2 linked regions of the Diceros bicornis minor genome follow. Each later gene encodes a partner of the first gene's protein in a complex. Links are inferred from orthologs where the notes say so. Each region holds a gene or a part of one and is shown on either strand. Other genes may lie near its edges.

Region 1 (7,668 bases):
TCACCCACTCGCCAGAGCCTGCCATCGGCCAGCACAGCAGCCCATCCCAGGTCCTAGGACATCCTAGATAGAGATGGGAGCAGAGTAGACTCAGCCCAGGGGACAGGCCCTCCAACATTCTGATTGGTGAGGTTGGGGAGATCAAGGAATCTGAGAAGCCGCCTCCTCCCTCCTAAGCGCCATACCCAGAGTGGCGTTGGGCATCTCCTCTGCCACCTGGAGACACGCCCTCTCCTCCTCTCTCAGCTGGGTGAGGAAGTCACACTCTGGGTGCACGTGGCCCAGAACCTGCAAGAGAGAGTTAATGATGAGCCCAGCCAGTAGGGTGCTCCTTCTGGGTTCTCTGGTCCAAACGACCTGAGGACAGAGACAAAGCCTGATTCATTTCTGCACCCCTGCTCCCAAGCACGGGCCTGGCTCATGGCGCTTACAGGTGTACTTGATGGAAGGAAGGAGGGAGGGAGGGAGGGAAGGAAGAAAAGAAGAGCTCCCCAACCTCACCACTCAGCAAGGAAGGAAGGAAGGAAGGTGGGCAGGAGGGAGGGAACGAGGGAGGGAAGGAGGGAGGGAAGGAAGGAAGGACAGAGGGAAGGAAAAGGAAGTGATAAATAAATGACAAGCCATGGGATATACTGGAGTATATGAGGAAGCCATTTGGTGTAAAACTAATTCAGCCTGACCTTGTTTTTCCAAAAGGGCCTGACATAGCCTGTTGAGCATGCATTGCACATTTGCTTTAAGTATTTACTATGTCCCAAAGACAAGAATGAAACCCTTAAAGATAGGGATGTAGCTTCCCCCACATTGGCATTTCTTTAAGGATAAGCATCTCTCCCTAAACTAAGGATTGATTGCTGACCTGCTGTGCTCACCTTGTGACAACCGACCTTCTATGTTCACTGATCTGCTGTGCTGGCAAAGCAATCTCGTGACTATTGTAAAAGGGATATTCCCGTCCTATGTGACGTATGCTCTTTGTTCCAAGAAGGTATATACCCACTCTGTACACCCCACTTCTTTGGAGTGTTTCCTTCCTTTGTGAAGGGACTCTCCTGGGCTATATGGTCCTTAGGGTTGGCTCATAATAAACTCACCCTAACTTTTGATTTATAGATTGTTTATGAATTATTTGCCTCGACAGAAGGAAGGAAGGAAGAAAGGACAGAGGGAAGGAAGGAAGGAGGAAGGAAGGAGAAAGGGCAGAGGGAAGGAAGGAAGAAAGGACAGAGGGAAGGAAGGAAGGAAGGAAAGAGGGAAGGAAAGTAGGAAGGAAGAAGGAAGGAAGGAGGGAGGGAGGTTTGGAGGGATGCTTCCTCTTTTCGTCTCATGGCAGTAAGTTGTGAGACACCTTACACAGGAGTCCTCAGAAGAGCTCGTGGAGGTGGCTGACTCCATAACGTGTCCGTGTGGTGGCCTCTCCTCCTTCCCTGTTTTCCTCCCGCACCTGCACTCCTGCCGCCTGGGAGCAATTCTGCGTAGAGCACCTTGGTAGGCAGAATAACTCACCCCCCCCCAAAAAGGTCCACATCCTAATCCCTGAAACCTGTGAATGCGCTACCTTGCATGGCAAAAGAGACTTTGCAGATGTGATTACGTTAAAGATCTTGAGATGGGGAGATTATCTTAAAGATCTTGAGGAGGGGAGATTATCCTGGATTATCTGGGTGGACACGAGGGTCCTTATAACAGGGAGGCAGGAAAGTCAGAGTCAGAGAAGGAGATGTGATGATAGAAGCAGGGGTGTGCGTGCTGGGGGAAGTTGTAGTGTTGGGGGGTGTGTGAGAGAGAGAAAGTGTGATTTTCCCGTGGGGTGCACACAGACGAGTGAGGAGGTTCCCCTCTCTGGGGAGGGGAGGGCAGCAGAAGTTACCTGTATTGTACCTTATGCCCAGCCCTTGACGTATCAGACCCCACTCAATGCACAACAGCCCTGGCAAGCAGATATTATTTCCTCTTTTACAAGAGACAAGGGAGGCTCAGGAGGGGTGAGGAACGCCCCCAGGTCACACAGCTAGGTTCACTGTGCAGGATTCAAGCCCTGCCCCTGGGGGCAGGTGTCTCACAGTGCTTGGGAGGCGTGGCCCCGGGGGTGGTGCCCCGCCCCCACAGCAAGCCAGTGGAGGAAGAAGGAGACCTCAGTCCACGTGGGGCCCGGGAGCCCCCCGGGAGCAGGGGCTGCCCACCCAGCACCTTGTGCCTCCCATCTTGGTCCCTGCATCACTCGCAGTAGCTCCTGGAGAACATGCTGGGAAATTGCAGCACATTCAGGGAGGGCCCCTGTCCTGGCGCCCCGTTCTCCAACAGTCTAGGCCTCCAAGCAATATTTGGTTGCCAAAAGCTTCTCCAACCCCAGGACATATCATAAGAGGAAGAGTCTCCTCAATCCGGAGAGGAGCAGCTGTTCTCCACTAACCACTCAGGCCACTCAGTCCTTGGCCACAGCCTCTTAAAAGAGCCTCCCAGCAATCAAATGGGAGTGAGGCTCCAGGGGTCGTGGGGACAAGGAGGGGTCTGGAGATCTTGGAGGAGGAGTGTATGGAAGAAATGGGGGTGCAGAGCTTAGAGAGACTTGGGATGTGAAGGGAAGGACCTGACTGCCTCCCAATCCAGAGGCACTGTCTTGGGGCAGACAGAGTCTCTGTGGCCCCCAAAGGGCACAGACAGGCCCTGGGGGAGGCAACAGGGAGGTGAACTCAGCTCAGCCCCGGGAAGGACATTTTAATAGTCAGAGCTACCCAGAGAGAAGCAGACTGCCTGGGAAGGGAAGGGAAGGAGGGAGCCACGGGTATCAGTTGTCCAAGCCACGGCCTGCCGCCTGCTTGGTAGAGAGAGATCCTACACTGGGGAAGGGTAGCAGGGTCCCCACCAGGCTCCAGCCGGACCCTCGTATGGCCCTGAGGCTGCCAGACCTGGAGCCCAGCGGGAGAGGCAGGAAGGTCTGGGCTGGCTACTCACGATGGGTAACAGGCTCAGCAAGCAGAGGATGCAGGCACCCCACGCCCTGCTGTCCATGGCGGGGGCTCGGCAGTGGCTCCTCAGGCAGCCTCAGTGAGCCTCGGCCCTCTTCCCTCCCCCACCATCCCCTGCTGCTGCCGCGGCATCACACCCTCTACCTCCCCTTCCTGGGTGGTGGTTTGCATAGGCAGGAGCCAGGATAGGGCTCAGAAACAGCTGAATATTTACCAGGATTGCAGGACACCATGCCCAACTCAGCCCTGGCCCTGGGGTGGGACTCCATGTCCCAGCAGGGAGGGGCTGACTCCTTCCCCCAGACTCCCTTCCACTCTGTCTGCAATTTAGCCTGTGTGTCTGTCCTTGAGAGAGCCCCGAGAGGTGACAGCCACAGGACACCTCTTACCCCAAGAGGTCAATATTCTCTCCCATTTTCTTCTCTGAGCCTGCTCTCTGCTGGCCCACACTGGAGACAGCCCCCCAAAAATGAAGGAGACTCAAAGAAGAAGAGGAAGACCTGGGCCTGCCCTCAGGGAGCCCCCAGTTCGGTTGGTGATCCCAGTCTCGTCCACTGGGCTGGAGGGAGGGCTCAGGGCTGTGGGTAGCCAGCGCAGGTGGATACAGGGTGTCAGGGGGCTGGAGGGTAGGAATGAGTGAGAAAAGGAGATGTGATCACTAAGTACCGGCACAGGCTGGCCAAGAGGGTGTCATATCGGCAGGACCTCTTTTCTTTCCCCGGCAAGGACGTCAGCCTGGATGGCAGGGTGAATCTGCAGATACAAGGCCCTGACTTCACGTGGGGCTTGTCAAAGTCTCTCCAGAAGTCCTCACAGCAAGAGGGGAAAATGAGGCTGAATAGGCAGCTTGCAAGGGGATTCGTGGGGCTGGGGCATCCTGAACGGGCCAAGACAGCTGTTTTCAGTAGCAGACACGAAAGGACTTACACAGCCGCTCCAATTATTTTGAACATTCATTACCTGGTCCTTTTTTATTATAGTTTAGACTTTAAAATGTGGGATCCCATTTGGCCAGGCGTTCTAAATTACCCTGGATCTCGTACAGCATTTTTCACATTTCATCTCCGAGGGCCCTGAACGCCCCAGGGCCTGGTCGGCGCTGACATTTGTGGCAGGTCTGCATTCCCGGAGCTCGCTGGGCTGGACGCTGCTGACAACAGACGTGTTTACAGCCTGACACGAATCATGAATGATGAAGGCTCCCCGCCCCCGCCACATCTGGATTGAGGAATCATTTTACATAAGCAGGGCTTTCTTTTTCCATTTGTATTCATCGCCAATGAAGTGTTGGAGAAAAATATTTTGAAAACAAAGCATGAACCACCCCAATCCCCAGACCCCGCCTGCCCTCGCACAAGTATTGTTGTGTGCTTTGCGGTGAACAGTGCGGGCGGGCGACACAGACGCTGAGCTCAGCAAGTCGTCAGGAGGAAGCAGAGTTCCCCTGATGGCAGGCCCAGTGAGGGTTTGCAGGGTGGGAGGGCAGAACACGGAGAAGGTGCAACTTAAAGGGAAAGCTAGAATCTCCTGTCCTCCAGCTACAAAGAGGCAACAGCCCAAGGATAAATATCACGATTAATCACTGTTGATAATTAGTATCAATGTCATTAGCTTTAATGATGGTTAATAATTGACATTGATATGCAATAATAACTATTACTATCTAAATTAGTGATTCTTAACAGGAAGCAATTTTGTTCTCTAGGGAACATTCAGCAATGCCTAGTTTTCATTGTCATAGCCAGGAGTCAGGAGTGGGGAGGAAGCTTGGCAAGGTGCTATAGTATCTAATGGATGGGAACCAGGGATGCTGATGAACATCCTACAGTGCACAGGTATGCCCCACAGCCATATAAAGAACTATCCAGCCCCAAAGGTCAATAAGACTAAGTTTGAGAAACACTGTTCCAAAATCCTGTTCATGTTCCCCAAGGATCCCCCAGCCTCACTGTCCCTTCTGAATAGGCCAGGGCCACTGAACTCCCATCTCTCGTTATCTCTGCATCTACTCAGGGTTCAAATTCTGTCTCTACCACTTGCCAGCTGTGTGACCTTGGGCAAGTTATTTAACCTTTCTAAACCTCAGTTTCCCCATCTGAAAAATGGGAATGATACCTTCCTTATAGGGTTGATGGGATCAGTAGATAAGGAAAGGCACATAAAGTAGCTCATACAGAGCCTAGCTCACAGTGGACAGTCATCAACGATAGCATGCAACAAGGAAAGACTGTTGGCAGATAAGGTTAGAACAATTGATTCTTTGTATGGAAAAAGAAGATTAGCTCACATTTACGAAATATAAATTCTAGAAGATTTAAAGCCCTATAAAACAATAATGGAAATTGGTTTTATGACCTTAGAAGAAAGGAGACTTTCTTATATAAAAAATAAAAACCATTAAGAAAAGATTAATGTTTGTTCACATCAACATTAAAAAAAAATGTACATTCAAGAAAGGATACCATAGATAAAACTACAAGCAAGTTATAGACTGAAAAAAACATCTATGACCAATTATGACAATAAACACATGGTATCAAAAATATGTTTTAAAAATACCTACAAGTCAATAATAAAACACAATAAAAAGGTGAGCAAAGGATATAAATAGGCAATTCAGAAAATAAGTGAAATACAGGACCAATAAACAGATGAAGAAATGCTCAACATCACCAATACTCAAGAAAATGAAAATGAAAGAGAGAAAAGAGCCTACCACATTGCCTAAAATATTAACGTCTGATAGTATGTTTGGAAAATACTGTGAGGAAATAGTATTTTTATACTGTGCATATTGGAGTGAATACTGGTACACCCACTTTGAAAAGCAATTTGATGTGATCTATTGAATCTATATATGAACATACCTATAAACCATAAGTTCCATTTTTGGGTATTTGCCCCAGAGGGCAATATTGTTTATAATATGTAGTAAAAACCAGAAAACAACACAAATGTCCAACTATAATGAAACAGCTAAATAAAATGTGATATATGCATACAATGGAATACAGTAGAGAATTAAAAGGATGAACCAAATCTATCCGTATCAACGTGGAGAGATTTCAAAAAACGTATTTGAGGAACTTCTGCTTCCAGCCAACAGAGCAACAGGGAACCCACTTACTCTCCTCCTGCCTTAACAACAAGAAATCCAAATAAAATACACAAAATAGTTTTTTGTATGAGTTATTTTTTTTTAATTTTTAATTAATTTGTTTTTTATTGCAGTAACATTGGTTTATAACATTGTATAAATTTCAGGTGTACATCATTATACTTCTATTTCTGCATAGATTACATCATGTTCACCATCCAAATACTAATAACAATCCATGACCACACACATGTGCCTAATCATCCCTTTCGCCCTCCTCCCTTCCTTCCACCCCTCTGGTAACCACCAATCCAATCTCTGTCTCTATGTGTTTGTTTGTTGTTATTTTTATCTTCTACTTATGAGTGAGATCATATGGTATTTGACCTTCTCCCTCTGACTTATTTCACTTAACATACTATTCTCAATGTCCATCCATGTTGTCACAAATGGCTGGATTTCATCGTTTCTTATGGCTGAGTAGTATTCCATTGTGTATATATACCACATTTTCTTCATCCATTCGTCCCTTGATGGGCACTTAGGTTGCTTCGAAGTCTTGGCTATTGTGAGTAACACTGCAATGAACACCGGGGTGCATGTATCTTTACACATTGGTGTTTTCCTGTTCTTTGGATAAATACCCAGCAGTGGAATAGCTGGATCATATGGTAGTTTTATCCTTAATTTTCTGAGGAATCTCCATACTGTTCTCCATAGTGGCTGCACCAGTTTGCACTCCCACCAGCATCGTACGAGAGTTCCCTTCTCCCCACATCCTCTCCAACACTTGTTGTTTCCTGTCTTGTTAATTATAGCCATTCTGACGAGCATGAGGTGATATCTCATTGTAATTTTTGTATGAGTTTTAATAGATGAAGGAAAAAAACTACATGATCATCTCAATTGATGTAGAAGAAGCATTTGACAAAATCTAACACCACTTCAAGACAAAAAACGCAATACTCTAAGAATAGAAGGGACCTTCCCTAACATGATAAAGGCCATATGTGAAAAACCCTCAGTGAACATTATACTCTAGGGTGAAAGACTGAAAGCATTTTCCCTGAGATGAGGAACGAGACAGGGTATCTGCTTTCTCCCCTTCTATTCAACGTAGTACTGGAAGTTCTAGCCAGAGTAATTAGGCAAGAAAAAGAAATAAAAGGCACCCAAACTGGAAAAGAAAAAATAAAATTCTCTCTGTTCACAGATGACGTGATCTTAAATGTAGAAAATCCCGGAGAATCCACACACAAAAAAAAGGTTAATAAACAAATTCAATAAAGTTGTAGAATACAAAATCAACATGCAAAAATCAGTTGTTTTTCTATACACTAACAATGAACAATCTGAAAGGGAAATTAAGAAAATCATTCCATTTACAATAACATCAAAAAGAAATACATATATATATCTCTACAGTAATCATGACAGTGTGGTGTTGGCAAAAGGATAGACATACGGAACAATGAAACAAGATAGAGAGCTCAGAAATAGACCCACACAAATATAGTCAGCTGGTTTTTTATAAAGGTGCAAAGGCAATTCAATGGAAAAAAAACAGTCTTCAACAAACAGTGCTGAAATAATTGAATATCA
Region 2 (6,520 bases), on another chromosome or scaffold:
AGAGCAACCAAGTCAAAAGGCCCACCGCCATCCTCTTTGCCCGTGGATGGGTGAGTACATTTAGATCCCTTGTTAGGGGCTCTGGAACATGCTTTTGGTGGTTGGCGCCATTTTGAGGTTGTCTCTGGTACGTGGCATCTCAACCCTTGGAGGAGTGGCAGGCAGAGAGACATGTTCCAGGTGTCTGTCAGAGGTGGATGAGGTTTCAGTGCTCCTTCAAGGGTGTGCAGGCAGGTCTCTGGGGCAAGACACGAGGTGGGTAGATTTTCCTATGGACAACGGGACTCTGCCATGGATCAGAAAGGAGCCAAGGGGCCGTGCAAATCAATACCGCTCCTCTATGGCTCAGAACCGAGTCAACGTAATTGCCTGGAAATTGATAACATTTTGCTTTCTTGCTCAATTGCAGCTGTGCGCCTTACTCTAGGTTTTAGACACGATTATCTACCCTTGGAGCGCTCCATTACCCCCACGCTGGTCTCTTGATCTGTGCTTTAATGGTCCTGAAGTATTTGTGTCTTTCACCATAAACCTCCTCAAACCCTTTCTGGAAGGAGGCCAGGTGTCACTCTTTTGAATGACAATTCAAGATGCTTCCTCATTAAAAACTTAGATCTCCTTTGACTTGGAACATTATTTCTGAAACAGTTTAAAAAGTGGATCAGGATGCCAATGCTTTAGTGTTCCGTTACGAAGCAGAATATGTAAGAAAGGGAAAAGACTTTTTTTCCTAGGTGTTCAAAAGTGGCCTTGCTCACTTGGGCACTTGAGACCTGACCCCTGCCGTTAGCTGAAGGCGCATCTGCGGGATTGTCGTGTCTTTCTTGGCATGAAGCCTGGCAGAAGGTGCCAACCGATGTAGATCAAGTGCCCATTGATCTTGAGTCCAGATGATCTCAAATCTATCTAATCACAGAATGCGTCTGTAAGCACTGCGGGAAGCTGATACTCATCATGATAGATGGTAAACTCTAAAATGCCTTCGGAGCCATCAAGGGGTTGTCGATGATGTTGTTGGGTTCACGCTACACTTAGCTCGGTGAATTCTAGGTCCCTAGATTGGTCACGTGGAATACGTCTGTCAACTGCTACTTTATCTTTGGTGACCAACCTCTATTCTTTTCACACCATAAGCTGGATAATTCTTGTTGTTTCCCATCTTTCTCCAGCGGGATTTTTGCCACCCTATGGATTAGGTTCTCATGGCCCCGAGGTTGTAATGGCATCTTGACCCATCGCTGGGGCTCATGGTTTATGGTAAATGTGGTGCCTCTCGGTTGACTAGACGATGCCGTTGCTCAGCCTCATTCTGGATGAGCCAGAAGTCACTGTATTTACTGTGACTCTCCCCAGAAAGTCTGCCCTCCTCTCAGGTTACTGTCAACTCCCTAAAACCACTGAGTGTGCACAGGAAGGTGCTGGCCGAGCGGCTGTCCCTGTTTGTCTCCTTTTTTTCTTCCCTAGAGACCCAATGACAAAGAGCAAAAGCTTTCCGTTTTCTCAGACCATTTCCCATGCGCAGGTGATGAATTCTGAAGCGCCCCGTGAATGGGGAGTGCTGTGAATAGGGTATTGTATCTGGGAGGCTGCCACGCGGAGCAGGAGGAAGGCTGCTGGCCTGGGAATCGCGAAGCCCATTCTGAAGTGCCCTCTCTGAAACTAATTTGATGGAGGACCGTGGAAAAGGCTCTTCTCCCCTCTGGGCTCGTTCCCTCGGCTGTAAAATGAAGATCGTGGTACCTGCTTCACAGGGCAGGTATCGCGGGTGAGCTGTGTGGGTCAGGAGGGCACTGGGGCTGGGAGTCACTTGTGCCACCCCTGGGAGAAGGGGCAGGAGCGGCCGAGGGAGAGCTTAGGCCCGGAGCAGAGACGTGGGCTTCACTCTGGAGAGAGTTGGGGGCCAAGGGCTTCTGAGCAGGGGAGTAAAATGATTAGGGACCTGGATGCACCCAGGTTTTTAAAAGATCAGCAGCAAAGAAGGCAAGAAAGCCCAGGCTGTAGCTGGGAGACAGAAAAATCAGGGATTGTGTCAAGGGGCCCTCCTTGCCTCCAAAGATCTCCATGTTTAGGAAATTCCACTGCTAGGGAGGCAACCTGGACCAGGCGGGGAGAAGAGGAGCCAGACGTGATAGGTGTGGTGAGGACAGAAGACTGAAGATCCTTGGTCTGGTGAGCAAAGGCCTGAGTCAGATGCAAAACGCGTTTAAGGGCTTGTCATGTGGATGAAAGGCAGAAGCTCTGGGTGGCACAGCAGATGAATGTCAAAGGGGCAGCCCTGGGTGGCAGATACCGTGTTTTCGTCTTTTCTCTAGCCCCAGTCTCTACCAGAAGAGTAGAAGCTTAACAAGTATTTGCAGGATAAGGGGATTTGGACTTGACATGATGAGAAAAACTTTCTAACAAGAGCTGCCTGGAAATAGGACAGACTGGCTTGGAGGTAATGAGCTCACTGTTACTCACTGGCAGCAAGTGTTTGAGCAGGAACTGCAGGATCATCTGTTGGGGGGAAGGGGGTTGGAGGGGGCGCACATCAAGGAGGTGCTGATGATGGAGGCCTGGAAGGCTGTTCCCTCCAGCTCTGGAGGTGTGGGGTTCTCAGGCCGCATTGAGCAGTCCCCATGCACACTCCCTTCGGTCTCAAGGCATCCCTGGGTTAGTCGAGACCCCAGTGTCTGGGAGAAGGGGGCAAATGCCCTAAGAGGGCCAATGAGCCCAGAAAAGGAAGGTGGATTCTGCCAGCACTGGCCCTGCCTGCTGGAAATCACCCCTCAGCAGGACCAGAGAGGAAATGGAGGATGTGGGGTGATCATGGGGAAGGAGGGGTCTTGCCCATCTCTGGGGCTGGCTGGGCCTCTGCGTGGGTCTGTCTCCCCGTGGAGTAGATATCCTGCTGGGAGAGGGGGTGCCATGGGAGATGGGAAGACCCAAGTCCTAGGTGGCCAAGTCACCCTGTTTCCACACCAGGCAGGTCTGGGTTGACAGCAGAGATACCTGCCACAGCGAGGCGGGCTCTTTTCCCTGTTGACTGTTCTTCCCCTAATTGCAGAGCACGCTGTCAGCAGGCCCCGATTAGGGGTAATTACATGATCTATGCGCTGATTCTGCCGCACTGGCTTCCCAGGCTCCTGGTCTCTGCCAGGGGTAAGACTCTCGGGTGAGATCTAAGCATGTGGAGCAAGATCTAAAGCCTTCCCTTCCCTCCAACTCCACCCGTAACAAACACAGGACCAGCCTGCCCTCTGAGTGGGTCTGATATTAGGTATCACAGCAAAGGTTTGTGGAGAATTCCCTGTGTGCCAGGCTACTCTCATCTCCTTTAATCCTCACAAGGACCCTATGCAGTGGGTATAGTTATCGACTCCCTTTTAGGGATAGGGAAACTGAGGCCCAGAAAGGAGAAGTCACTTGTCCTGGGACACACAGCTTGTGATGGCAGAGCCTGGATATGAACTCAGATTTGTCTGACTCAGAGCCTGAGCCGTCAGCCCCGCTCACTGCTGTCTGCCACACTGAGAGGGGTGACTTAGGGGACTAAGGGAAAGTGCTTGCTCCTCCCCTAGCTTGCTGAGGCCTGAATTCCACACATAATGCCTTATAGCAAGGGGCAGTCTCCCCATGATCATTAATTTTCTCTTCAACCCTATGAGGTCAGCAGGGTAGTTTTTCATGCCCATTTGACAGATGGAGAAAATGACTGGCAGAGGCAGAACTTGAACCCAGGTCTGTCTGACTTCCAGAGCCTGGCTTCTTTTTCCTACCCCATGACATTCAAATGACAAGGACCAAGGCTTGTACAGAGCCAAGCGCACGGCTGGGCCCAGCCGGCAAAGAACATCTCTGTGGCTAGGCCTACACCTGACCTTCCCCTCTTGCCATTTTCCAGGTGCCACTGCAGGAGTGAAGGATGCTGCTCTGGGTGTTCTTCCTCGTGATCCTCACCTTCAGCAGTGGCTCTCACTGCTCTCCACCCTCCCCGCCCCTCAGGTAAGCAGTCCTGCCCACAGGGCCTGGATTCCTGCTGCCCCAAAGCCGTCCCTGCCACCCAGGGGGGTAGTTTAGGAGTGCAGAATAGAGCCACAAGCTGGCCCGCAGCTATATCCTCAGGCAGCCCCCACTGACCACGTCTGGGATGGGGCAGCCCCTGAGCTCCAGAGAGGTCTCCCAGCCTGGGGTCCCTCTCTCTCTTGGGATGAGCAAGGCAAAGGGCAACAGAAGGACCTTACAGAGATATGGTAAGCGCAGCCCGCCCCAACCCTGGCTGTCCTCTCGCCTGGCCGCACCACCCCGCCCTCTGACCTCTGACTCCTTCCATATAGAATGCCTCGGTATGCAGATGCCATCTTCACCAACAGCTACCGGAAGGTGCTGAGCCAGCTGTCTGCCCGCAAGCTACTCCAGGACATCATGAGCAGACAGCAGGGGTAAGCAGAAGTTCTCGTGATTTCCTCCTGTCCTTCTATGCATCAGAGTTTGGAGGGACCAAACTTTGTCACTTCCCTCGCACAGCCTCTGTCATTTCTGGACTTGCCATAGCAGAAGGGCCCCCTTGTCAAACCTCAGCTTACCTCTAACCATGAAATGATCCTTGAAGACATGCTATGTGCTTCTCCCCATGTGAGGCTCCAACACTAACAATACCGACTGCAGTTACCATTCTATTGATTGTGACTGTGGTAGAAACAAAGGCTCTGCCCTGGGACATTTACACACACTCTGCCCAGTGCTGGGCACACGGTCAGCCCTTGGTAGTGTTAGCCGTTACCCTTAGTTTGTTATCTGCTCCTTGTAACAACCCTACAAAGTAGGGATTCTTACCCGCATCGCACAGAGCTGTTAATAGCTTCTAGACGACATACATCAAAGAGTGGCAGAGCCGGGATCCAAATAGCCTGACTCCACAGCCTGTACATTTGGTAGTTTTCATTTTGAAAAATTCCAAACTTATAGAAAAGTTGCAGCAGTAGTACAATGGACTTCCACACACCCTTCCCTATATTCAACAATTCCTAATATTTTATCATATTTGCTTACTCTATATCTATACCTAGATATGGATCTATACATGCACACACAAACATATGTAGGCATTTATTATTATTATTATTATTTTGCTGAATCATTTGAGAGTTAATCGCAGTCATCATGACCTTTACCCTTAGGTGTGACCTTTACCCTGTGTGTCTCCTAACATGCCACAGAAGGACATGCTCTTACATAATCACAGTATAATCGCTTAGAGTCCATATTCATATTTCACCAGTTGTCTCAAAATGTCCTTTAGAACAATTATTTATTTTCCTGATTCAGGATCCAGTCCAGGCTCACAGCGTGCATTGAGTTGTCGTGTCTCTTCAGTTTCCTGTAATATGCGACTATTCCTCAGTCTTTCATGACGCTGGCATTTTTGATTAGTAAAGGCCAACTATTTATAGAATGTCCCTCATATCAGGTTTACTTGGTGTTTCTTCAGGATTAGATTCAAATTCACATTCGCAGAAGTGACATTGTGTCCTTCTCAGTGCATTGTATCAGGAGGCACATGATGTCACTTTGTCCCAGTATTGGTGATGGTAACTTGGATACTTGGTTAACATGGTGTCTGCCAGGGTTCTCGTCTGTAAAGTTAATATTTTTCCCTTTGTAATGAATAAGTAATCTGTGGGGAGATATTTTGCAAATATGTATTTCACAGCCTATACTCTTCACTACTGTATAGACTGCCTTGCTAAAAGCAGCTCAATCTAATTTGGTTGGGTGGAAGTGTCCGCACCAGACATGGGAATAGGCACAGAGACACACCCTGCTCTGCTCACTTTGTCCTGGCCTTTCCCAGGCCTCCCCAAATCCTACCCAAATAGCAACCACAGCTGTTTCTCTTTCTCTAACCTAACAGAGAGAGAAACCAGGAGCAAGAAGCAAAGACACGGCTTGGCCGTCAGGTGGACAACATGTGGGCGGACCAAGAGCAGATGGCATTGGAGAGCATCCTGGTGGCCCTGCAGCAGAAGCCGGGGTAGGAATACATGTGTGTGCATGTGCACGCACATGTGTACGTGTAGGGACCAAAGAGGATTCCTTCCCTGTGTGTTGCCAAGAAAAGGAAAGAATCTCCTCCTTTCCAAAGACATGGGGCTCTGCCAAGCAAACTGGGAACAAGGTCCCACCTTACACACATCAAGAACTGGAGGAAGGGAAGAAAATGCCTGATAGAGACTGGATCTTAGCCACTGCTGTATTTTCCAGCGTGTTGCAAGAGGCCAGGCTCATCTGTGACCGAAAAAGTTACTTACTTGATAGTTCTGGGATAGGACCTGGAACCTGAATTTTAACAAGTGTCCCAGGGGTTTCTGATGCAGATGATCTGAGAGGCATGCCCTGGATCCCTTGCCACATTCACAAAATTATAAACCCAAAGGAAGACCAGCCCCTCCCAACACCCTCAGGGAGAGAGTGTGGGCAGCCCTCATGAGAGGGAGAGAGGGGCATGACAGTCATTCCCATCTCCCTGACCCTCACACTC

What was found. Proteins that work in one complex are often made in the same cells at the same time.
Region 2: the proteins of GHRHR (region 1) and GHRH are in contact, whole or in part, in a cryo-EM structure (PDB 7CZ5), measured with the Homo sapiens proteins. The link is inferred for Diceros bicornis minor from reciprocal best matches to the Homo sapiens genes GHRHR and GHRH. Residues at the interface, in NP_000814.2 of Homo sapiens: Leu119, Ala120, Glu122, Glu123, Phe126, Ser127, Val129, Lys130, Tyr133, Val179, Lys182, Leu186, Phe187, Asp190, Thr192, Asp193, His194, Cys195, Phe197, His210, Thr213, Phe217, Ala271, Cys272, Asp274, Leu275, Asp276, Trp282, Ile285, Ile289; in NP_066567.1 of Homo sapiens: Tyr32, Ala33, Asp34, Ala35, Ile36, Phe37, Thr38, Asn39, Ser40, Tyr41, Arg42, Val44, Leu45, Gly46, Gln47, Leu48, Ser49, Ala50, Leu53.

What each region holds. Positions count from the first base shown.
Region 1 is NC_080742.1:55,225,062-55,232,729, reverse strand, and holds the start of GHRHR (growth hormone-releasing hormone receptor), read right to left. Parts: upstream 3,013-7,668; coding exon 2,956-3,012; intron 289-2,955; coding exon 186-288; intron 64-185; coding exon 1-63.
Region 2 is NC_080758.1:22,802,323-22,808,842, forward strand, and holds GHRH (somatoliberin), read left to right. Parts: upstream 1-3,904; coding exon 3,905-3,984; intron 3,985-4,316; coding exon 4,317-4,421; intron 4,422-5,893; coding exon 5,894-6,017; downstream 6,018-6,520. UniProt on the Homo sapiens protein: GRF is released by the hypothalamus and acts on the adenohypophyse to stimulate the secretion of growth hormone.